Linked DNA regions of Mus musculus. The protein of the gene in region 4 purifies or fractionates together with the protein of the main gene of each other region. This does not show direct contact. Links are inferred from orthologs where the notes say so. Each region holds a gene or a part of one and is shown on either strand. Other genes may lie near its edges. The genes, in order: H2ax, Kpna6, Hnrnpm and Lmna.

Evidence for each region.
Region 1: the proteins of Lmna (region 4) and H2ax purify together in Homo sapiens (affinity purification with mass spectrometry; 3 studies listed by BioGRID and IntAct, with this or other methods). This does not show direct contact. The link is inferred for Mus musculus from reciprocal best matches to the Homo sapiens genes LMNA and H2AX.
Region 2: the proteins of Lmna (region 4) and Kpna6 purify together in Homo sapiens (affinity purification with mass spectrometry; 4 studies listed by BioGRID and IntAct, with this or other methods). This does not show direct contact. The link is inferred for Mus musculus from reciprocal best matches to the Homo sapiens genes LMNA and KPNA6.
Region 3: the proteins of Lmna (region 4) and Hnrnpm fractionate together in Homo sapiens (co-fractionation; 3 studies listed by BioGRID, with this or other methods). This does not show direct contact. The link is inferred for Mus musculus from reciprocal best matches to the Homo sapiens genes LMNA and HNRNPM.

The regions. Positions count from the first base shown.
Region 1 is NC_000075.6:44,332,442-44,338,028, reverse strand, and holds H2ax (histone H2AX), read right to left. Parts: upstream 3,315-5,587; 5' UTR 3,268-3,314; coding exon 2,836-3,267; 3' UTR 1,952-2,835; downstream 1-1,951. Other genes in the region: Hmbs (porphobilinogen deaminase), read left to right, coding at 1-114, 339-377, 554-673, 858-911, 1,017-1,103, 1,184-1,357; Dpagt1 (UDP-N-acetylglucosamine--dolichyl-phosphate N-acetylglucosaminephosphotransferase), read right to left, coding at 4,907-4,972, 5,058-5,213, 5,379-5,466. UniProt on the Homo sapiens protein: Variant histone H2A which replaces conventional H2A in a subset of nucleosomes. Nucleosomes wrap and compact DNA into chromatin, limiting DNA accessibility to the cellular machineries which require DNA as a template.
Region 2 is NC_000070.6:129,644,632-129,649,741, forward strand, and holds part of Kpna6 (importin subunit alpha-7), read right to left. Parts: intron 4,746-5,110; coding exon 4,567-4,745; intron 3,549-4,566; coding exon 3,361-3,548; 3' UTR 1-3,360. UniProt on the Homo sapiens protein: Functions in nuclear protein import as an adapter protein for nuclear receptor KPNB1. Binds specifically and directly to substrates containing either a simple or bipartite NLS motif.
Region 3 is NC_000083.6:33,660,156-33,666,121, forward strand, and holds part of Hnrnpm (heterogeneous nuclear ribonucleoprotein M), read right to left. Parts: intron 5,491-5,966; coding exon 5,337-5,490; intron 4,480-5,336; coding exon 4,430-4,479; intron 3,131-4,429; coding exon 3,070-3,130; intron 160-3,069; coding exon 58-159; intron 1-57. UniProt on the Homo sapiens protein: Pre-mRNA binding protein in vivo, binds avidly to poly(G) and poly(U) RNA homopolymers in vitro. Involved in splicing.
Region 4 is NC_000069.6:88,479,562-88,484,880, forward strand, and holds the end of Lmna (prelamin-A/C isoform A precursor), read right to left. Parts: intron 5,277-5,319; coding exon 5,054-5,276; intron 4,594-5,053; coding exon 4,486-4,593; intron 4,386-4,485; coding exon 4,266-4,385; intron 3,853-4,265; coding exon 3,757-3,852; coding exon of another isoform or gene 3,736-3,756; exon of another isoform or gene 3,644-3,735; intron 3,052-3,643; coding exon 2,785-3,051; intron 2,540-2,784; coding exon 2,513-2,539; 3' UTR 1,587-2,512; downstream 1-1,586.

The DNA.
Region 1 (5,587 bases), on a different chromosome or scaffold from region 4:
CGGGGAAACCTCAACACCCGCCTCCGGAAGCTGGATGAGCTGCAGGAATTCAGTGCCATCGTCCTGGCTGTGGCTGGCCTACAGCGCATGGGCTGGCAGAACCGGGTGGGCCAGGTAGGAGCTGCCCTGTTCTGCTTCCCATTGAATCTGCCTCTCTCCTGCCTTGATTTCTTCCTGACCATTCTGCCAACAACACTACAACCAGAAGCCCAGGCTAGGGATATTGGGACTCATTGCTGGACTTCCTACCTGTGCCTTCCCCAGGCTTCCTAGATTGGCAAACCCTAGCTCACTGCCTTTGAACATCCCCTATCCCACCATCTTGTCTCTCTCCACAGATTTTGCACCCAGAAGAATGCATGTATGCTGTGGGTCAGGTAGGTTTGCCTGGAGAGAACCTGGTTCATAACCTTTGGCACCTGCTATCCATCAAATAAGATGTTTAGAGAGGGACAGGTTTGGTTGTTATGCATAAGACCCAGGGAAGCAGGTAGAGGTGTGTTTCTCATGCTTAGCTCTATTACTAGAGAAGATCAGGCCTGTTGTTCTTTAGGGAGCCCTAGCCGTGGAAGTCCGAGCCAAGGACCAGGATATCTTGGACCTAGTGAGTGTGTTGCACGATCCTGAAACTCTGCTTCGCTGCATTGCTGAAAGGGCTTTTCTGAGGCACCTGGTAAGATGGGCTCCTCCCATGGTGTTGTGGGGAAACCAGGAAGGGCAGTAGGGAGAGAGATTTGTCAAGTACTCAGTATGTAATGTTTTGTATGTATGGAGAGGACCTTGATCTGGCCCCTTGAGGTCTGTGGTCAAAAGTGGTGTTAAAGGCCCTTAGAGCTCAAAGGAACATATCATTGCAGGAAGGAGGCTGCAGCGTGCCCGTAGCAGTGCATACAGTGATGAAAGATGGGCAAGTAAGCCAGGGAAATGGATGAGGGGAGGGACTGTCATTTCCATGTGCACCGAAACATCTAAGTAACTTTCTTTAAATATCCTGGTACAAACATTTTATTTCCTAGCTGTACCTGACTGGTGGAGTCTGGAGTCTAGATGGCTCAGATAGCATGCAAGAGACTATGCAGGCCACCATCCAGGTCCCTGTTCAGGTATTGACTGGGAGATGAGGAAGGAATAAATAGAACTGCTTGTAATCTTCCTCTTACCAAAATTGTAACCTGTCATCCAGCAAGAAGATGGTCCAGAAGATGACCCACAACTGGTTGGAATCACTGCCCGTAACATTCCAAGAGGAGCCCAGCTAGCTGCTGAGAACCTGGGCATCAGCCTGGCCAGCTTGCTGCTCAACAAAGGAGCCAAGAACATCCTGGATGTTGCACGGCAGCTTAATGATGTGCGCTAACTGGTCTGTAGGGCACAGGAACCCTGGCTGCCACTCCACTGCCTACTTCTGGCTTCCAAGTGCCCTGTGCTCCATCCCTAGGGATGTGATTATCCCAGGAAATTGAACCACGGGGTTGTTGAGACTTCCACTTTGGAAGATATGCCTCACCTTGGGGCCTCCATATCTGCCTTTCCCTCAGTAGTTGGGGGCTTCATCTCTTTAGAGAAAGTCCATGCCAATCTTTGAATGTAACCAATACCACTAATAAACCAGTTTAGAATGTGGTTCTTCTGATAGAGTTGGGGAAGATATGAATAAACCCAAAGCCCTTTTAAACTTGAATTGAGTCTGAGACCTTTCTGTTGTAAAACACGCTGTGATTTGCCTCATGTTCTCAAAAAAAAAAAAAAAAAAAAAAAAAAAAAAAAATCAGCCTTCAATTCCTACAGCCTGTCTTCAGTCAACGGGATCTTCGTGGATTACATAGCCTTTCCCACTCCCACGGCCTGCAGAAAGGGAAGTCCCATTCTCTCCCAAGATGTGCCAGGCACATGGCTCTACCACGGAGCTATATGTCCAGCCCTGGGACTACAGCATTCAACATTAAACCACTTTTTTAAAAAAACAAAACCAAACGATCCTTTAATAAAATTAGCCCATTAAATCTCCCCACTTAAGGTTCTAAACTTGTAATAGCTGCAAAAGTTCCAGTTCAGAAGCCAGAGGCTCAGTCCAGACAGGGATTCACCGGCTTGTGCTGGTATCTAGGTGTTTGGGTTGTAGTTGAGTCGCTGGGGAAGAGGGGATGGATGGCTAGGCCCGGCTGCCAGTCGCCTGCGGCAGGTATAGAACTCTTGTCCACAGGCCGGTAAGCGTCTCTCTGACCCTTGCCGGGAGGTATTCCTAGAGAAACTGGGTTCACATTACAACCATTTTTGGCCCCGCCACACCACACTGGCCTACGAATGGCGACAGGGTCAACTGGTATGAGGCCAGCAACGGTGACACCGAAGGAAACAATGTGATCCATTTCTCCTCCTCTAAGCCCGGCAATCAAGTCACTTTTCAAAGGTCCAGGCGAGGGCTAAGCACCAAGCTGAAGCAAAGACGCCGGGGCTGTAGCTGCGGAGGGACTAACCTTCAAGCCCACCGCGGCCGGACGTCTGAGCGAGGGGCCGAGACTCCGGGAAGGCGCCGCAGCCTCTCCGCACGGAGCCGTCGTCCACAACCGAGAACGGCGAAGCGATGTCACGAGCTCCGGGATGGGCAGGTGCCGCGGCGCCCGCGTCCTCCGTGGCAGAACCGGAGGCCGTGCGGGGTAAGGGGAAGAGTGGCGCGAGGGCGGGGAGGGGAGAGGAGGGAAAGAGAAAGGATGGGGACGCGGCAAGCCGCCGCAGCCCGAAGTGGCTCAGCTCTTTCTGTGAGGGAGGTGGTGGCCCTTAAAAGGGCCTTTGTGGAGGTGTGGGGAGGGCTGGGCGGCCTCGGCGCGGGCCCCCTCAGTACTCCTGAGAGGCCTGCGAGGCCTTCTTGCCGACCGCCGGCGCCTTGGGCCCCACGGTGGCGCTGCTCTTCTTGGGCAGCAGCACGGCCTGGATGTTGGGCAGGACGCCGCCCTGCGCGATGGTCACGCCGCCCAGCAGCTTGTTGAGCTCCTCGTCGTTGCGGATGGCCAGCTGCAGGTGGCGCGGGATGATGCGCGTCTTCTTGTTGTCGCGGGCCGCGTTGCCCGCCAGCTCCAGGATCTCGGCAGTGAGGTACTCGAGCACCGCTGCCAGGTACACCGGCGCGCCTGCGCCCACGCGCTCGGCGTAGTGGCCTTTCCGCAGCAGCCGGTGTACGCGGCCTACAGGGAACTGAAGGCCGGCGCGTGAAGAGCGCGACTTGGCCTTGGCGCGGGCCTTGCCGCCGGTCTTGCCGCGTCCGGACATAGTGTACGAGGTAGAAGAGCTGCGAACAACGCTGAGAGACCACGAACTACCAACCGCCGCAGTCAACGGTCGCCTGGCCGGCCAAGCCCGGCCTTATAAACTCCCTGGACACGCCCCCGCTTCCTCCTGATTGGTTCCTTTTTTAATACCCACCTCTGGTTGGTTGCAATTAACCCTTCGGTGACGCGCCTTAGCTGAGAGAACGCGCCCAGTGATTGGTCCAATTTGAAAACCTTTTACCCGGGGAAGAAGACAAGGCGGAGTGGCCGCAAGCCGGAGGCTGCTCACCCCTGGAAATGGCCAATCCGTGTAGAGCGCGCGAAATTTAAACGCTACGGCGCGACAACAAAACCTGAAGACTAGAAGGGTGGAGCTTGGAGCTACCTCTACAGTTTCTGGGAAATTTGAGTCGGTCTTTGGTCTTAAAGGAAAAGGGTCTACACTATAAGCAGCGTTCTCCTTCCAGGTTAGAGCACTTCCCACTCCCTCCTCTAATCTGGTAGACGGAGGGTTTATTTGTTCATTATTATTTTTAGGTTTGTTTGTTTGTTTTTCGAGACAGGGTTTCTCTGTGTAGCCCTGGCTGTCCTGGAACTCACTCTGTAGACCAGGCTGGCCTTGAATTCAGAGATCCGCCTGCCTCTGCCTCCCAAGCCTGAGGATTAAAGGCGTGCGCCACCACCATCTGGCTTTTGTTTGTTTGAGACAGGGTTTCTCTGAGTAGCCCTGCCTGTCCTGGAACTCAGAGATCAGCCTGCCTCTGCCTCCCTAGTGCAGATTAAAGGGAGGGAGGGTTTAAAAGAAACGAAATGAAACCTCCTAGGAGTTTAATCCTATGCCAGAAAATGGAGCACTGTGATCTTTTATGCTATCACAAGTTTGTGCTGCGATATTTATTCAACATGTTCTGTCTGGTCTTAGTTTGTGACAGGCCTTTTTTGCAAGAAAGGGTCTGATGGAACAGAGATCGGTATCCTATTGGGAAAGGTACCCGGTCTAACCCTTCCAATCTATCCTAAAATGCCTATATAAAAAATAAATATACCAGACTTGGCATATAGTTCAGTGGTAGAGCAGTTAAGTATAAGGAAGCCCCGGTGTTCACTCCTGAAGCACCACGAAGGTTAAAAAGGACAGAGGGAGGGGATGCTACACTAGAGGAACAAGTAAAAGGCAGTCCTTTATTGTCACCGTTCTGAGCACATGGCCCTGCCTCTACGCTTCCCAATCACAACACTTCATTTGATAGTCAAATGTGAGGTCACCTTGGAGTATGTAGCCCTAACTCTAGCCCTAGCCCAGGTTCTCTCTCAAGGCTCAGGTGAATTCCTTTAGAGTTAGCGCTCTGAAAGCTGAGCTACGAATATTTGCATAATAGAGGCTACAAGCCCACCTGGTGAGGCTGCAGATGGGACAGAAAGGGAGGGCAAGGCAAGATGAAAGCCCTAGGCAAAGTCCAACTAGCGGACTTCAAGTCCAGCAAGGTGTCCATCCAGGATATCAGTAGTCACAGATGGCAGAAGCTGAGAACAAAAGTGTCAGCGAGGCCTGGACCAGAGGGTCATCTCGGACCAGACAGAGGCTGGTCCTGGCTGAGGTCCAATGGAGACTGTGAGGTAAAGGGCAGCTGTCAGGGAGCTCAGACATCATAGAAGAGTCGGACGAGTTGGTAACGAATGGAGAAGGTGGCGGCGCTGCTTAGGACCTGGGAGAAGTGGACTGGAATTAGAAGCAAGGCCAACCAGAGATGTAAACGCCATGGCATTACTAAGCCCCACCCTGAGCTGTACCTGCAGGAGCAGCAGGAGCAGGGTGAGGTTTCTCTCATGTATAGGCCCAAAGACTTTAAGTAGCAAGTTGATGAGGGTCATGTTGTTACACTCAGTGAAGGCACCGTCCTCACTCTCACCTTGGTGAACTGTCACTAACCGGAGGTTCTCTGCTACCTGCAGGGACCAGAGGTGAAGATGACTTCAGTTATGCAGATCTACTTCACGAATAGGGATCTTCTTGATGTTCCCAAACTCCCCTTGGGCCTGAAAAGGCCTAGGTTTCTCTTTTCCCAAGTTAAGGATGGCGGCCTCGGGCCTTACCTCCTGTTACCTTGTTACCTTTAAAATAAAGGTGCCCAGGAAAGAGAGGTTCTTGGTCTTGAACTTGGAATAGCTCATTTCCAGTTTGCCTGTCTTTGCGTTGAGTCTGCAATGGGAAGATAATTTCATTTGACTGAATCAGAGACCTCTGCACCCTGGTTACTAAGAAGAGTACTGAGGCCGGGCGTGATGGCGCACACCTTTGATCCCAGCACTCAGGAGGCAGA
Region 2 (5,110 bases), on a different chromosome or scaffold from region 4:
CCTTGAAGACACGGTCACAAGAGCACTCCCCTCTGGTAATAGGGCGCCCCGGTTTCTGGCTGCTTTTCTCACAGCCAGCTTTGGTCCTGCACATAGTTCAGGCTTCAGACAAGATGCTCTCTCAGAAGGAAAACAAGTTTTCACTCAGATTTGTTGGCGTTGACCTTAGCTTCTTCCCTTGCTGTGCATCCTGGGGTGGGACTAGGGGATAGACTGGGAGATTGAGTCAGCTATGAAGGCCTTTGGCCAAAGAGCAGCTAGTATCTACCACATGGATCCTTACAGGGGCAAATTCTCAGTTTGTTGGCTTAACAAAAGAATACAAAAGATAAAACAAAAAAAAAATATACTGGACAAAACTGGTCTAGAATGTGCCAGGAAGCCTGTCTCTTACCACCTCTCAGGGAAGTGCGGCTTGAAGCTGCCACTGCTCAGAATCTATAGTTCAGTGCACCTAGCCTTGCACACTTCCCCAGCCTGCTAGGGAAGCTTGTCACTAACTATCCTGTCTCCGTCCTGGATCTGCAGGGACCTGGAGAAGTTTGGGTTTTTTTCCTTTGAGAAGTTAGAATCTAAGCCTGAAAAATACCCAAGAGGATGGATACCAAAATGAGTGAGCCTGGAAGAGAAGAGCTGGGGTCTGAATAAAGAGTGCAGAGGCCTCCAGGACGTGTAGAACTGTGAGCTGCTAGCTCTGCAGGCAGACAGAAACACACTTCCTCTGTGTGGGAAGTGTGTCTTTGTACCGGCTTGGTTTCAAAGAAAGAAACTCCACGCAGAAGCACCGTCTTTTCCTCTCCCTCAGCTAAAATCCCACTGCAGCTCTAGCCCACAGTTAGCTTCAGAACATAGGCTACTGGGGATGACTCCCAGGGGCAGCAGAAAGGGGAAGTGGTAGATACAAGGTCCCGGGTAAAGGGGACACCAAAAGGTCTTCCAAACCAGGCTACCAATACCTGCTCCTCGGAAGCACTTGTGTGCACAGACCCAGGTAACAACGGTACCAAGCAAGCTGGAACTCATACAGTAATACCAAAAGGCTACAACCAACATCCAGGGCCATGATCACTGGGGAGGGCTGGAAACTGAAGTCAGTCGGCCAGGAGCCGACTGTGAGGGACACCTAGAGTAGAGCAGCTAGATAGATAACCAACCTCTTCCATGTGGCACAGGATCTGCTCTGAAGCCAGAGATAATGGAAAACGGGCAGAGGAAAGCAGGACATTTGTGTCTCATGCTGAGGATCTGGCTCCAGGGCCAGGGTCCTAACTGTCACTTGAGAGGTTCAGGGGTCTACTCTTCAGATAAGGACGATGATGGCTTCATAGAGGACTTTTCTTTGAACTAGGAGCAGTTTCAGTCAGGTTAAAAACAAAAGGGCCAGCACCTTGCCTTCCCGGAAGGCACTCGCCAGCGTGGTCCAATGTTGGTTGAACTTTTCAGTATTAACTGCCTGCCCTGAAGAGGAATCTGGAGCAGGAACTCAAAACTAAAGGAGAGACGGCAGACGGAAAGGCAGAGGCCAGCAGCAAGAACCTCAACTTCAGATCTGCAAATGTGGGGCACAGAGAGATCTGCTGGAACAGGAGGAACAGTGCTGTTCTAGAGAGCGGCTAAGGGTGTGGGGGATCACCACAGCAGGGCACTGTGCTGCCACCTCCACAGGTGGTCTGCCCAGCTGACACTGTACCCAGCTCCCAGAGCTTGGTTTTAGTGTACTGTGTAACCCCTGAAAACAGGTCAGCCTCTGAGGTACTGAACTGTCTTTATTCAAGAAGGAGGGAGGGAGAGAGGGAGGGGGAGAGAGAGGGAGGGAAGAGAGGAGGAGGGGGGAGAGAGGTGGGAGGGGGAAAGAGGGAGAAAGGGAAATGCAAGCTAGGTACAAGGATCTTTAGAAGGGAGATGCCAACAGGGTTCATTGTGGGTAACAGTGAGTTAGAGAAGGCAGGATGCTTTTTGCTTGGGAGCAAGGAACAGAGAGAGCAGCAGACTCCATCAGGCCTTGCTCCCTTCAGGCTGGGAACAATCAGACCCAGCTGATTTACTTCATAAAGGTTCCAGAAGTGAGAGTTGGTCCCAAGTGGTGGCCCAGAATACAAGCAGAGAAAATAAGGACTGAGTTCAGCCCTGTGAGCAGAAACTTGTTCGTCTTTCTGGTCTTCCTCACAGTATCCCACTCACATCCAGTTTGTCCTCCTAAAACCAATTAAGACTGACCTACTTAAAATACAGACTATTAAAAAAACAACAGAACTTTTTGCCATTCTCTCCTTTGGAAGTGAAATATACATGATCCAGCTATGGCAGAAGGAAGAAGAAAGGCCAAAGGCAGGGATTCATGACTATCCCGATACACGACACTAACTCCAACCTCCTCTGCAACTTAGGGGTCATCAGAGCAAGGACTTTCTCCTCAGGAGAAGGAAGGACCACAGCCCCCCATCTCAAGCTCAGGAGAAAACACAGCCACCTCAGAGGTTCATTCAACTCTGAGGTGAATTTTCAAGTAAACAAATGAAGTTGGGTCGCACCATTTAGGAGGTGGGTAGGAAACAGGGTCAGTAGCTACACAGGAGAAGCCCTGTCTAAAGGCCTGTGCCCCTCCCTTCCACTCCACTGGTATACTTGCTCCAGGAGAGTGAGGGGGATCCTCCCAAACTAAAGAGGTCTTAGGCATAGGGTTAGAGGGAGGGAGGGATCTTTGTCTCATGGGGGCCTCCCCATTAGCCTCTATTTCCAGACGATGCTGGTGGCTGGGTTACTAAATCCAGCTTTTTGGGAAGAACAACCTTAATACAAGAAAAATGTGCAAAAGAAAAAATTAAATAATCCAAGCATACAAGATTAATATGGGTCAGAGCAAGAACACTTTGTTTGGGACTTCTCCCCTCCCCTCCCACCTCCCACCTCTGGAATATTCCATCTGCTCAAGTACCCAAGAGTTACACACGTCAGGGCAGAGGACTGGGATGGATGAAGAAAGATAATTGGGAAGGAAGTCACCACTAAAGAAAATAAAAGAAAAAAATTTTAAAGGTGCAAATTGATTACCTCAGTCCTCCTTTGTCTACCCCTGGGCTCCTGGGTTAAAGACATGTGCAGCCAAAATAGTGTAAGGAAGAGAAACCCACACGTCCCCTTCTTGTCTCAAAACCCAATGTGAGCCTCAGATGGTTCTGTCTGTCCAGAGGGCGCTTGCTCCCTCCAGGGAAGGGGATGAACAGGTCGAGAGCACAGTCTCGGGGCAGCAGGTGTGCGGGGCTGCTGGTGGGGTGGCTGCTCTCCTGCCCACCAGAAGGCTGCTCCTCTCTCTGCTGGCTGCTGGTGCTTCCCGTGCCCTCCCCTCCCCGGAGGCAGACATTATAGCTGGAAGCCCTCCATGGGGGCCTCAGGCTGCTGGAAGATGAACTGCTGTTGCGTCTCATCCACCTGAGGAGCCAGGCTGCTGTCGTCATCCTCTACACCAAAGTAGTGCTCAATGAGGTCAAAGGCCTTCTGGTAGATTTCCTGGTTCTCGTGGCTCTGGAGAAACTCAATTTTATCCAAGCCTACGGTGTAAGAAGAAAACAGGTCTGTACCTCTCCTTTCCTGAAGTACAAGTTCCCAACCAAAAGCAGTGGGAACATATCCACCCCTGGCTTGTGTAAAGTGCTTGCCCTGAAAACCTGAGTTCACTCCCCAGGATGCAAGGCCAGGAATGGTGGCCGGGGCCTGTAACCCTAGCAGGGGTTGTGGGAAGAGGATACAGTCGGGACAAACCAGCTGGGGTTTGTTTTCTGGTTGGCTTGTTAACCTAGATTACTCTGAGGAGTGATAGCTCAGACTGACCTCTGGTCTGCACACACATATACAATGTGATTGACTAGAGGGTTGAGACCAAATTCTGTTGCAAGCTAACTCTGAGCTAATCATGGTGAGCTAGTTAACATCTAATTAACATCTGAGCTAATCATCTGAGATGGGTTGGTTAAGGCAATCAGGGTTTTCCAGGAGAGACTGTTGGAATGCAGCTTCTAGCTCCTGGTAGTAGAACCAAATTTTACCCTGTTCCTCCTTGCATACATTTGAGGTAGGTGGTGTCTATGAGAACAGCACTGACCTATGGCTCCTCAGAGGGAGGAGGAGATGGTGGGACAGGGAAACTTGATAGTGATAATAACCATTACTTCTATCTACCCAGCTGGTCAGTACGAGTCAGCTACTCCCAAGGGAAAGTCTGAAACCCTGTGCTTGGACTAGCTTGGCTGCAACAGGAACTCATCACTGGTTTTAGAAGCAGAGACTCAAGGGCTGGTGAGATGACTCAGCAGGTTAAGGTGATTTCTGCCAAGTCTGACAACCTGGGTTCAATCCTAGGAACCAACATGGTGAAGGGAGAGAACTGACTTCTTCAGGTTGTCCTCTGACCTTCATCCCACATGTGCCATATCATGTACACCCACACTCATACATGCATATGCACACAAATGAATGGATAAATGTATTCCCAAGTTTCACAGAACAATTGAATGTGCTCCAACATCTTCCCCATTAACAGACATAGGTGAGGTCAGGGAGAGGACCTACCATAGGCTTCCTCGATGAGGCCACAGTAGGGATTGACCCCTGAGCCACTACGCTTGCTTTCTTGCTCTCCAAGCCGAAGAATGTTCTCTAGTCCATTGAGGGCCACTTGCACAATTTTTGAATCCATTACAGTCAGCAAGTCACACAGGGGCTTAATGCAGCCCAGTGATACCAGGTACCTGGGGACCAGAGAGGACATGCGCGCTACATGAATGCAGAACACATAAAGTGCACCAGGTGCTTTGACCTGTGCGTCTCCCTCACACACCAATTTTCCCAACAAGGCACTCTTCCTGTTGCCCACCTAAGCCACCTTCTTAACTCTGCACTGACCTATTCCCTAATGAACACGGAGTCCTATTGTCCCCTTGGCTACAACGTTATTACCCTACACACGTTAAGAAGTTCCTCAGGTTCCTATTTGTCCTGAGTACAACTTGTACAGTATGGAGGTACAGACTGTCTGTCATCTGGACCCTTCCTCTGTAGCTCTACTCAGAATATTCCATACTGAGGTTATTAAATTGTGCTCAAAGATCTTCAG
Region 3 (5,966 bases), on a different chromosome or scaffold from region 4:
TAATAGTGGCTTTTAATAAATTCAATTTTCCCCATTTATCCCCACTACAATTCTCACCTGCAGGTCCTAGGTTTCCCATTCCAATGCCTTTGCTCAGATGGTTGGCATCAATAGGCTGACCTCCAGGTCCTAATCCCATGCCAATACCACCAAGTCCATCTGAAAGAAGCAGAGAAAGTCAAGAATATGGCTTCCCTTTCTGAAAACATGGTGACCCGCAGACAACTGGTATATTCTAGCTGCCGTGCTTTACCCCTAGACCAAGCAAGCCCAGGGCCTGACTTGACTTCAACACCTACACACCTGCATCCCTGTGAGTGTCCCTCTTTCTGAAGGTGCAGCTTTGGACATACAGTCAGAGACTGGAGTATGAAATATGTACCTACACAACAAGGGCAGCTAAAAAGTCAGTTCGCAGGCTGGCAAGATGACTTAAGGTTAAGGACCTTACTCCCAATCCCGAATTCTACCTCCAGAACCTATGGTAGAGAAAGCTGGTGCATTCATTTGCCCTATGACCTTCAAGCATCTGCACATTAACATGCATACACAGAGATACACACACAAAATGAATGCACTAAAGAAACAAATAAAATAATATATATAGTACCACTATGTAGCCCTCTCTGGCCTCAAACTTACAAAGATCCACATGTCCCTGCCTGAGCCCCATCCCAGTTTTTTGTTTGTTTTTTATCCCTAAAGAAATCTAACCTTTCTCTCTCCCCTGCCCTCTTTGCCCCCTTCTTTTAAAAACAAGGTCTTATTATGCAGCCCAAGGCTGGCTTCCAACTTAAGATCATCTTGCCTCCACCCTCTGAATGCTGGCATCACAGATGTGTGCTAGCACCTCAAGAATTACTAAATTGATATCCAGCACATCCTCACTGCTATGCTCTACAAACACAACTAAAGAAACAAGAAATGCAGACTGGTATCGGAAAGAGCCACTGAGGCCTGACACTTAAACCAAGATAACGAACAACAAAAAACCTCAACAGGCTCTAGGTACTTAATCTATCAAGTAGGTTTTTAATTGCATGGCAACAACTCCAATAAGTCACCAAGGGTTATTATTCCAATGTACTCAAAGCTCTGAGGTCAACCCTTTGAGTCATACCAAGAGACCAAGAACCAGGGATAATAGGTTCCCTGGGGCTCAGTGCTCCTTTACCTCTAGCACAAGCATCAACAAGAACCACAACAAGCATGTTAAGTGACCACCTGCTTGCAGACAGGTAGTAAGGAAATATTGTCCTTTCAACAGACAAGCCATCTCCTGTCTCCCTGACCCCTTTTTTGCTACTGGGTAATCTGACTAACCTTTGCTAAGTGTTCAATCACTATATCTGCATTTTTTTGACCTATTCTTAAAGCTACAGGCCCTTTCAAGCTAGCAATTATCACAATTTCATTAACTTTCTCATCACTTTAAAAACCTCATCTCCAATAGCAGTCAGCTCTCTCCTCAGCACCATGGAACTATCTTCTGCCTTTTAGACCCACCTGTTCTGGGCATTGCCCACAGTTGGAAACAAGGTTTATCTCTTCCAAATTGTGGCTCCACCCCCACCCCCTTTTGACTAATCAACCGATTTTGCCAAATTTTAGTTATCTATACATAAATTAATGAATCAGTTCCAACATTCTCCCTTCCCTTTTAAAATAACATCTACCTGTGTACTCAGACCATCATTGAACTCATATTTGCCTGCTTTAGACTACCAACAAGTCTGGCTTGACTTTTTGACTAATGAGACACGCTGTTCTAAGCATTTATGTCATTTCTTCATGTGGACATTAGGTTTAGTCCTTAGAATACACCTAAAAGGGATACTGATAGACTGACTATACAGCAAAATCCAGCTCAACTTGGCATTTATTCAATTTGTTTAACCACCCATCTACTCCAAGACACTTTCAAACTGTATAATTTTGCTCTCTATATCTGGACAGCCTGTATAATCCAAGAGCCCTTCTTTAAAAGTGTCTGCAACAGAGAAACACGATGTGTTACTTTCCTAATGCTGTGATAAGACAAGATACCAGGACCAAGGCAACTCATTAAAAAAAGATTAGTATGGAGCTCATGGTTCCAGGAGTTAGACTCCCTGACCATCATGGCAGGGAGCATGGCGACAGAAAGGCAGGCATGGTACTAGAAAAGTAATTAAAAGCTAACTTCAGAAAAGAAAAGAAGAAAAAAAAAAAAAAAAAAGCCGGGTGTGGTGGCGCACGCCTTTAATCCCAGCACTCAGGAGGCAGAGGCAGGCGGATTTCTGAGTTCGAGGCCAGCCTGGTCTACAGAGTGAGTTCCAGGACAGCCAGGGCTACACAGAGAAACCCTGTCTCGGAAAAACCAAAAAATAAAAAAAAGAAGAAAAAAAAAAGCCCCCCCCCCCCAAAAAAAAAAACAGGATTTCTCTGTGTAGCCCTGGCTGTCCTGGAACTCACTCTGTAGACCAGGCTGGCCTTGAACTCAGAAATCCGCCTGCCTCCTGAGTGCTGGGATTAAAGGCGTGCGCCACCACTGCCAAAAAGCTAACATTTTTACAAAGACAAAGCAGAGAGTTAACTGTGGATATTGTGGGCCTATGAAATCTTGAAGCCTGCCCCAGTGACTTATCATCTCCAACAAAGCCACACACGAATAGAGGTCAGAGGACAACTTGAAGGACTCATTCTCTCCCTCGAGCACGTGGGTGCCAGGGGTTAAACTCTAGTCATCAGGTTTTGCATAAGATGCCTTTATCCTCTGAGCCAGTGCCACTATCAAATTTACTCTTAAGTCGTAAATTTCTTTACTCATTTCTTATCCTGAAAAACCTATAGAAAACGACTAATCAAGACATGCACGATACAGTGCACACCATTAATCCCAGCACTAAGGAGGCAGAGGCAAGCAGATCTCTGTGAGTTCCAGGCTATCCAAGGCTACATAGTGCAACCTGTGTAGGGTGGGGTGGTGACAGGACAAACAGATCACAAGAATCCCCAGGGTAACTTTCCACAACTGCAAGTATAAATTTAACTGGAACAGTTTCTATTTAGTATAATTCATATACTCACGGGGAAGTTGCTGTGGGCGTTCAGGAGGAAAAAAGTCTCCCTTTGGTAAAGCCCTCTCATCCTGGAAAAAAAGAAAAAGAAAAAAGATCTTAATCTCCACTGGAGCACCAATAGCAAAAGATGAGAAACAATTACCACAACAAAGAACCAAAGAGGTCAGGTACTGTGTGTGTGCTGCACACCTGTAATCCCAATATTTGAGAGACTTACACAAAAGGATCAGGAATTCAAGGCCAGCTTTGGGATACACAGCAAGTTCTAGGATAGTTTACATTACACAAAACTGTCACAAAAAAAATGAAACAAAAGACAAACAAACAATAATAACAAAGACAGGTTTGCAGATGTAGCCCAGAGATAAAACACCTGCCTATCACATACAAGGCCCTGTGTCCAGTCCCTAGCACCAGGGAAAAAGCAAAAATTTAAACTAAACAAACAAGTTAACTAGTTAAATATAAATAAACTATGACATAGCCATGGCACAGAATAATTATATCAAACACAAAGAGGTATTTGAGAGGTATTTTATCTTCTATGCCAACAGGAAGGATAAATATACATTTGTATTATTGGGTATGTAGAGCAGAACCTGAGCAATAAGTACTAGTGAGGCTCAAAACATCATTTCTTTTTTTTGTTTGTTTATCTTATGTGCATTGCTTTTTTACCCTACATGTGTATCTGTCTGAAGGTGTTGGAACTATTGTTACAGACAGTGGTGAGCTGTCATGTGGGTGCTAGAACTAAAACGGGGTCTTATGGAAGAATAGCTGAGCCAACTTTCCAGCCCCTCTTTTAATTTTTTTTTTTTTTTTTTGTTTTTGAGTCTTATGAATCCATTAGCTATTCAAAGACTTAAACTCCTTCAAATAACAAAATTTATAGCTCCTTTTATTTTATTCCTGAATCTGAATCCTAACCCAGACTGGCCTCAATATCTTCTAATACTGTTTCTATAAATTATTATCTTTGGCAATGTTATAGTAGGGTTACTGTTTATTAAGACTGAACTCCAACAGACCTTTAAAAGCTGTCTGAATCAAATACCTGTTCATTATACTAACCAAGCACTGTATGTTATACTTTGAAAACTGGAGTTCTATGCTAAAGATCCTTTGTAGCTGATTCTTTGTAGCTCACGCAGGATACTCAATGGGCTTCCTGAACATAGGAGTTAACAGTAATAATCAACCAGGCAGGAATGTACAGAAAACAACTTCCATGAGCAGAGAGACTCATCACTCTGCAGCCTACTAAATAACAGGTTTAGTTTAAGGGCTAGATACAGTTTTAGTAATTCTACATTTTTCCTAGCTTACTTGAACACATTACAAAGAAAGTGATCCTAGTAACTTACCATCTTGACGTGCATCGGTCTATCAAACAGCAACTGGCCATTAAACATAGCTGGTATTACAATTAAGGCTATTTCTAACAACTGTTAAAGCATACCATATAAAATGTTAAAAAGGTAACACCTCCATAGCTACCAGTGAACTCATAAGAAATTTCAACTCTCTAGGTATGAAGTTTTAGTAATGACTTTACACTGCAAAATGCTTCTGGTAATTAGTTAAAGCAGTTATCTATGTGTTCAACAGACCAAGAGTCTTTAGTATTTCTGAAATATCATGTTTTCTGGGTAAAGCAACCAGTAATAGTCTCCTGAGTTTAATTTCTGTAGTTATGTGTGACATACTCACTGTAATTAAAAAGATGTAACCCGAGGGCAAGCCTACAGCAAGGAAAGGGATCTCTTCAAACAACGTCTCTCTACAACAGACAGAGTCCATAAGGATATATTATAAAGAAATAAAAGCCTCAGTTCTACCGGGCGTGGTGGCGCACGCCTTTGATCCCAGCACTTGGGAGGCAGAGACAGGCGAATTTCTGAGTTCGAGGCCAGCCTGGTCTACAGAGTGAGTTCTAGGACAGCCAGTGCTACACACAGAAACCCTGTCTGGAAAAAAAAAACCAAAAAGAAAAAGAAAAAAAGAAAAACCCTCAGTTCTCATAAATGGTTTATTTCCTAAACTCCTCTGAAAAGAAAAGACCATTCATAGCATGTGTCTATGATACAACCACACCTTTTATCCATCTGTGTTCTACTCCAGAAAAATTTCAGATTCCATAGTAATCTATTTACTCTAGTCACAGAGAAAATAGTTACTTCTACCTTGTTGTCGTAATATACCTAGGTATGCTATTGCCTAACAGTGCTGGGGGCACTGTTTGCCATGAGCTGAATTCCCACAAAAGGATACATATTGCTTGCACAGCTTCAATGGACTGTTCAAAAGTCACAATGCCTATTCCACGACTTTTCCCATCTTTATCTTCCAGAATGTCTGCTCGGACCACCACACCAGCCATACTAAATACTTCCTTCAGTTTCTTCCAGCCAACTTTATAATCCAGCTAGGTGAAAGAAGAAGGTGAAAACTTCAAGGTAAACTTCTCTGGGGAAAAAGACACACTTTTACTATATTAAGATTGCTTTGACTGACTTTACAAGAAAATTAACTTCAGTTGAATTTTTAAATAGGACTGCAAAACTGGGCCTTAACTCTGCTATTTATTGCCTCTCTTCTTAAATGGAACAGAATAAGTCTCCTCACATTTAACAAGCTTTCCCCCTCATACTTAAAAAAGTCAGCAGGATGGTGGTGGTACCTGCCTTTAATCTCAGCACAGAGAAGGCAAAGGCAGGTAGATCTCTTGAGCCAAAGGCCCACCAATGCAACACCACTGAGAAACTGTCTTGAAAATCCCAAAAAGTCACTCTCCTTTTAAGTCTTTCCCCCCTTTTAACTTGTGAACCCACTCAGTTCTAAAAGTATTTGTCCTTGCAGAGAATAAAAATATCACCATTTACTCTAGATACAAAAAAAATG
Region 4 (5,319 bases):
GTCACTGTTATATCATATTGTGAACCCCAAGACTGGACACTGGAAAAACCTGTTTCTAGTCTTGGTGTAGCTCAGCTCTAGCACACACCTTTAATTCAAAAGCTTTCTGTTTATTGTAAACAAGATTAATAAAGTCAACCACAGGTCAAGAGGTGGAGCAAGCAACCAGTTGACAGGGAGTGAACACAGGGAAAAAAACCATAGAGTGAGAGGTCAGGAGGATGGATAGAGAGACACATGGGATCTAGAATGGAGGAACATTCAGTTGGTAGGGTTGGTTTTTATAACAGGGTAGAGGAGAACCAGTTTTCTTTTTCCTTCTGGTAAGTCAGTTGAAGAGTGGCAGCTGGGTTCTCTCTCTCTCTTTCGTTTTAAAAATAAGTAATTTGTTCAATCTCCCCAAGAATGGAATCACACTGCATATGGCAACATGGAGGTCAGAAGATCACGTGCAGGAATTAGCTCTCTCCTTCCACCATGCGTGTCTCAGGGGTGGGGTTTAGGTTTAGCACGTGTCTCTACCAATGAAGACATCTCTTGGACTCAATCACTTTGGGTTTTGTTTCTTGTTTTGTTTTTGTTGTTGTGATTTTTTTGTTTTGTTTTTGAGACAGGGTCTCTCCTATAAAGCCCTGGTTGCTGGAACTTGTTATGTAAAACAGGCTGGCCTTGAACTCAGAGATCCACCTGACTCTGGAGTGCTGGAATTAAAGGCATGCAATAGCATGACTGGTTCAATGATTTAAAAAGGTTTGATTGTGTGTGGATGTGAATTCGGGTGTACATGTGTGTGGGGTGGGTGCTCATATGTGAAGTACATAGACTTGGCATTCTGGAGACATGTTGTATGTCCTCGAGCTGGAGTTACAGGCAGTGGGAGCTACTTGACTGGGGGGCTGGGAACCCAACTCAGGTTCTCTTCATTTCAGAGTCATTGCTCCAGCCCTCAATCACTTTTGACTGAACGCCCAGCTCTTCTCCCAGGAAAAGACTTTTGTTTAGTTTTGGTTTGGTTTCTTGAGACAGGGTTTCTCTATGTAGCCCTGACTGTCCTGGAACTCACTCTGTAGAGCAGGCTGGCCTCGAACTCAGAAATCTGCCTGCTTCTGCCTCCCAAATGCTGGGATTAAAGGCGTGCATCACCACTGCTGGGCTCCAAGAAAGACTTTTGAAACAGGGTCTTGTGAATACCAGATTAGCCTCAAACTCACCACACCCCACCTTTTCTTTCCTTTCCTAAGAGTATCTCGGCCTACAGAGGCAATCACAGCATCCAGAGCCCTGCGACTACAGGGGCAGCAAGGGAAGCTCTGCTACTTCTGGCCCCTACTCTACCCTCCGTCTCTCTGTGCTCCTGTGTCTGATGCACATGTGGATTGCTGGCCCCTTTTAAAAGGTGCTGGATGGATGAGGGATAGGAAGGACACCCCTCGCTCACCCCACATATGCTGACCTTTCTAGAAGTCTCCCTCATACACACCTTTATAGCTGGGTAGTGAATATATAGTGAATGTGTGGCACCTCTGTGTGCATGTGTCTGCCCCTGAAAACACACATCACACCCAACAAAGAGACACCACAGCATCTGGGATGGAAACAACTAGTGTATTGATTTGGAGGGGAGAGCAGAGGTGCAGATGGGAAATGGGGTGAAGGGTTCCTTAGTGTTTGCTGTAGCCACCAATCGCCGCACCTCTAGACTTCTCACCAGCCCCAGCAGGTTCTCCCCATCTCTGGGAGCCTTCGTCCCCCACTCTTCCCTGTATCCCACTTGACATTGCCCTCCATCATTGAGACAGAGCCCACCAGGCTCAGAAGCTGGGAAAAGGTAGGCTCAAACTGATCTTCCCTTCTCCTTCCCCGTCATTCCCATCTCTTGTCTAAATAAAATATAGAAAAAGCAAGCACGGCAGATTTGCCTCTGGGAATCCACTCGCCCCAGGCTAGGGAAGGGCAGGAAGAAGGTAAGGCAGGCAGAGGAGCCTCGGCCTCGTGTAGTGCCGGGGAGGGGCTTGACCTTCTCAGTCATCCTCTCTGCGCCCCATTTCTCTGCAGCTGGCGTGGCAGTGGGCCAGCTGTTGGAGGAGGCTGGTGAAGAGAACTCCATGCCTGCCTCTCAGGCACCATTGTCACAGGGTCCTGGGATGAGGGTAAAGCCAAGGCAGCAGGACAAAAATCTAGACTCTATAAAAAGCAGTCCTTTCCCTGGGCTCCTAGAGAAGCCCTTTGGTTTTAAGGCAGATACAAGGAAAGAAAGGGGAAGGACTTAGGATTGAGATAAAGATTTTTTTTTTTTTTGCTTGAGTTTTTCCTTCAGTATAAAACCACTGTAGAAAATAACTTCTCTTAGAAAAAGAAAAAAAAAATAGAAGAAAAAAAAAAAAAACCAAAGGCAGGGGATAAATTTTTCTTTGGCTTCAGGCCTGCTCTCCTAAGGAGCAGACAGGAGGTGGCATGTGGTGAGGGGGGAGCAGGTGGCCTCTGCCCCCAGCCCTGCCTGGCAGGTCCCAGATTACATGATGCTGCAGTTCTGGGAGCTCTAAGAGAGAAGAGAAGGCAGAGGTGTGAGCAGCAGTGGCTGGCCCTTCCTCTCCCTCCCTGACCCCAAAGGGGGTTGTCTCCCCAACCCTCACACTCTGGGCCTTGCCCTGACCTCGAGTCTGGGGTTCAGACAGGAGGGGCAGGATGCAAGAGGGACTGCAAGGAGGGGGACCCCACTCCCTTGGGCTGCCCTGCCCTGCTGCTCAGTGAGCAGTGTCCTGCTGTAGGGCAGAGATGACTCACCTGGCTCCGGGGACTGGAGTTGCCCAGGAGGTAGGAGCGGGTGACTAGGTTGTCCCCGAAGCTGCCACCCCCACTGCCCCCCACACTGCGGAAGCTTCGAGTGACTGTGACACTGGAGGCAGAAGAGCCAGAGGAGATGGATCCGCCCACCTGGGCTCCCGCTCCACCGGCAGCCTTGTCAGCAGGCTGCCCACACGTCCCGCACAGCACGGTGCGTGAGCGCAGGTTGTACTCAGCGGGGTCCCCCGAGCCGCTGCAGTGGGAACCCTGGGAAGGGAGACAAGGCTCAGGAGGGACAGCGAGTTTGGGACTGACTTCTTAGGACCGGCACCTAGGCTGTGGGCTCTTGGAGCTTCCTGGCCATTGGGCAGGAAGGTGACCTCTGTCTGTACCCAGACAACCAAGTGATGGGGACTTGGGAGACCTGTGGCTGGGAGGAAGGGCATGATGGGGGAAATAGCCAGGAAGCCTTCGAAATAAAGAGCTGTGGCTTTAACTCTCTCCTGAATCTTAGACACTTATGGGGCAATCAAGAGGAAGAGCAAAGATGGAGAGACTTAATTTGTGAGGGGACAGGAAGGAAAGAGAACATTGTTGCAGGGAAATCTGAGGAGAAGCATGCAATAGGGTGGAAGGAGAGAGGAGAGAAGTGTGCATGCAATGGGAGTGAGGAAGAGAGGCAGGGCTGGGGCCACCTCTGTCCTCCCAGCCCCTTCCCAGGACACAAATCCAGAACCCTGTCCACTGCCACCGTGGAGTATCCATGGCATCAGCAAGTCCCCACTCCCTTCCTTACCAGACACCTGGGTTCCCTGTTCAAGGTAGAGGGAGGAGAGAGAAGAAAGGCCAGGGCAGCAAGTGGCATTCCAAAACATTCTTTAATGAAAAGACTTTGGCATGGAGGTGGGAGAGCTGCCCTAGGCTGGCAGGGCTACCCTTGTGGGCTGGGCCTCAGCGGCGGCTGCCACTCACACGGTGGTGATGGAGGAGCTCTTCTCCATCCTCGTCGTCATCCTCATTGTCCTCAACCATGGTCAGTGAGCGCACCAGCTTGCGCATGGCCACTTCCTGTGGGGACATAAGCCCAGGCCCAAGAGTCAGGGGGTGAGGGCTGTGCAGCCTGTCTACCCATAGTAACCACTTAGAACTGTCCCGGGCCTTTATACAACCTTGTCCAACCTCTGATGCTGGGGACTAAGGATAAACACATGCACATGTGCACACGCGCGCACGCACGCGCAAAAAGGACACAACTGAGAGCTCGGTGCTCTGTAAGCTGGAGTCTGCTATTAACACTCACTGGCTGACTTCCACCCATTATTCTACTGGGGAGACTTCTGGCTTGCTTACTGGGTGGGACTTGGGCTCAGGAAAGCGATCCTAAACCCAAGGCAGGTTCCCTTGGGTTGGAGGTAGCTAGTTCCCATTATGGCCACCAGGGGGAGCCTTGTCCAGCAAGCTACCGGCTGCAACATACTCACTTCTCCAGTGGAGTTGATGAGAGCGGTGCGAAGGCTGCTCCCACAGCCCCAGGTGTTCTGCGCCTTCCACACCAAGTCAGTAGGGGGGCTATGGGTGGCCCCAGCTCCTGAAGCCCAGATCTGGGAAAAGATGGTTTAAGAGATGTGCTTATTTTTAATGCTCCTGTCCTGAGGCCAACTTCTCCACTCCAGCCAGAGTCCCAAGTGCCCTTCCACTCACCGTCACCACCTGCCCAGCCTTTAGGGTGAACTTCGGTGGGAAGCGATAGGTCATCAAAGGATCGTCACCATTCTGACGCCTGATCTGCCAGTTGCCCATGGACTGGTCCTGAAGTAGGGTGGAGGAAGGAGGAAGGAGGAAGGAGGACAGGGAGTTCAACCGACTCTTGGATTATCTCACTCAGGAGCTTAGGTAGGCTGGGCGCCAGTGTGCGCCTGCAGTTCCAGCTACTATGGAGGCTGAGGCAGGGGAACAGCTTAATCTAGGGAGATCAAAGCCAACCTGGGCAAGACCCCATCGGAAAAAAAAAAAAGAGAGAAGAAAGAGAAAAAGAAAAAGAAAAAGAAAAAGAAAAAGAAAAGAAAGACAGGCTTGCCACCACTACCTCTGGCATTCAAACCTAGACTATTGGCTCAAGGGTCACCCATCCCTATATCATGCATCTTCCCAACAATTTAAAGATGACAGGACTACCACACACTCCAAATTCTCAGATAGGGAGACAGATGCTCCACGAGAACCAAGAACTCCCAGCCACTGAAAAGACCACCCTGGTTCACAGGCCCACCTCGTTGGACTTGTTGCGCAGCCGCACGAACTTTCCCTCTTCATCGACTTCCTCTACCGCCACACGCCCGCTAGTGCGAGCATGCTGCGAGAAGCTGCTCCGGCTCTCGGAAGACTCCAGCTTGCGCTTTTTGGTGACGCTGCCTCCACCCTGAGACTGGGATGAGTGGGAGGAGGCGCGGCCACGGCTGCGCTGCGAGGTAGGGCTGGGGGACAGGCGCAGCCTGGGGAAGGTGGAGACACGGTGCGGGGTTAGTCATGGTAGTT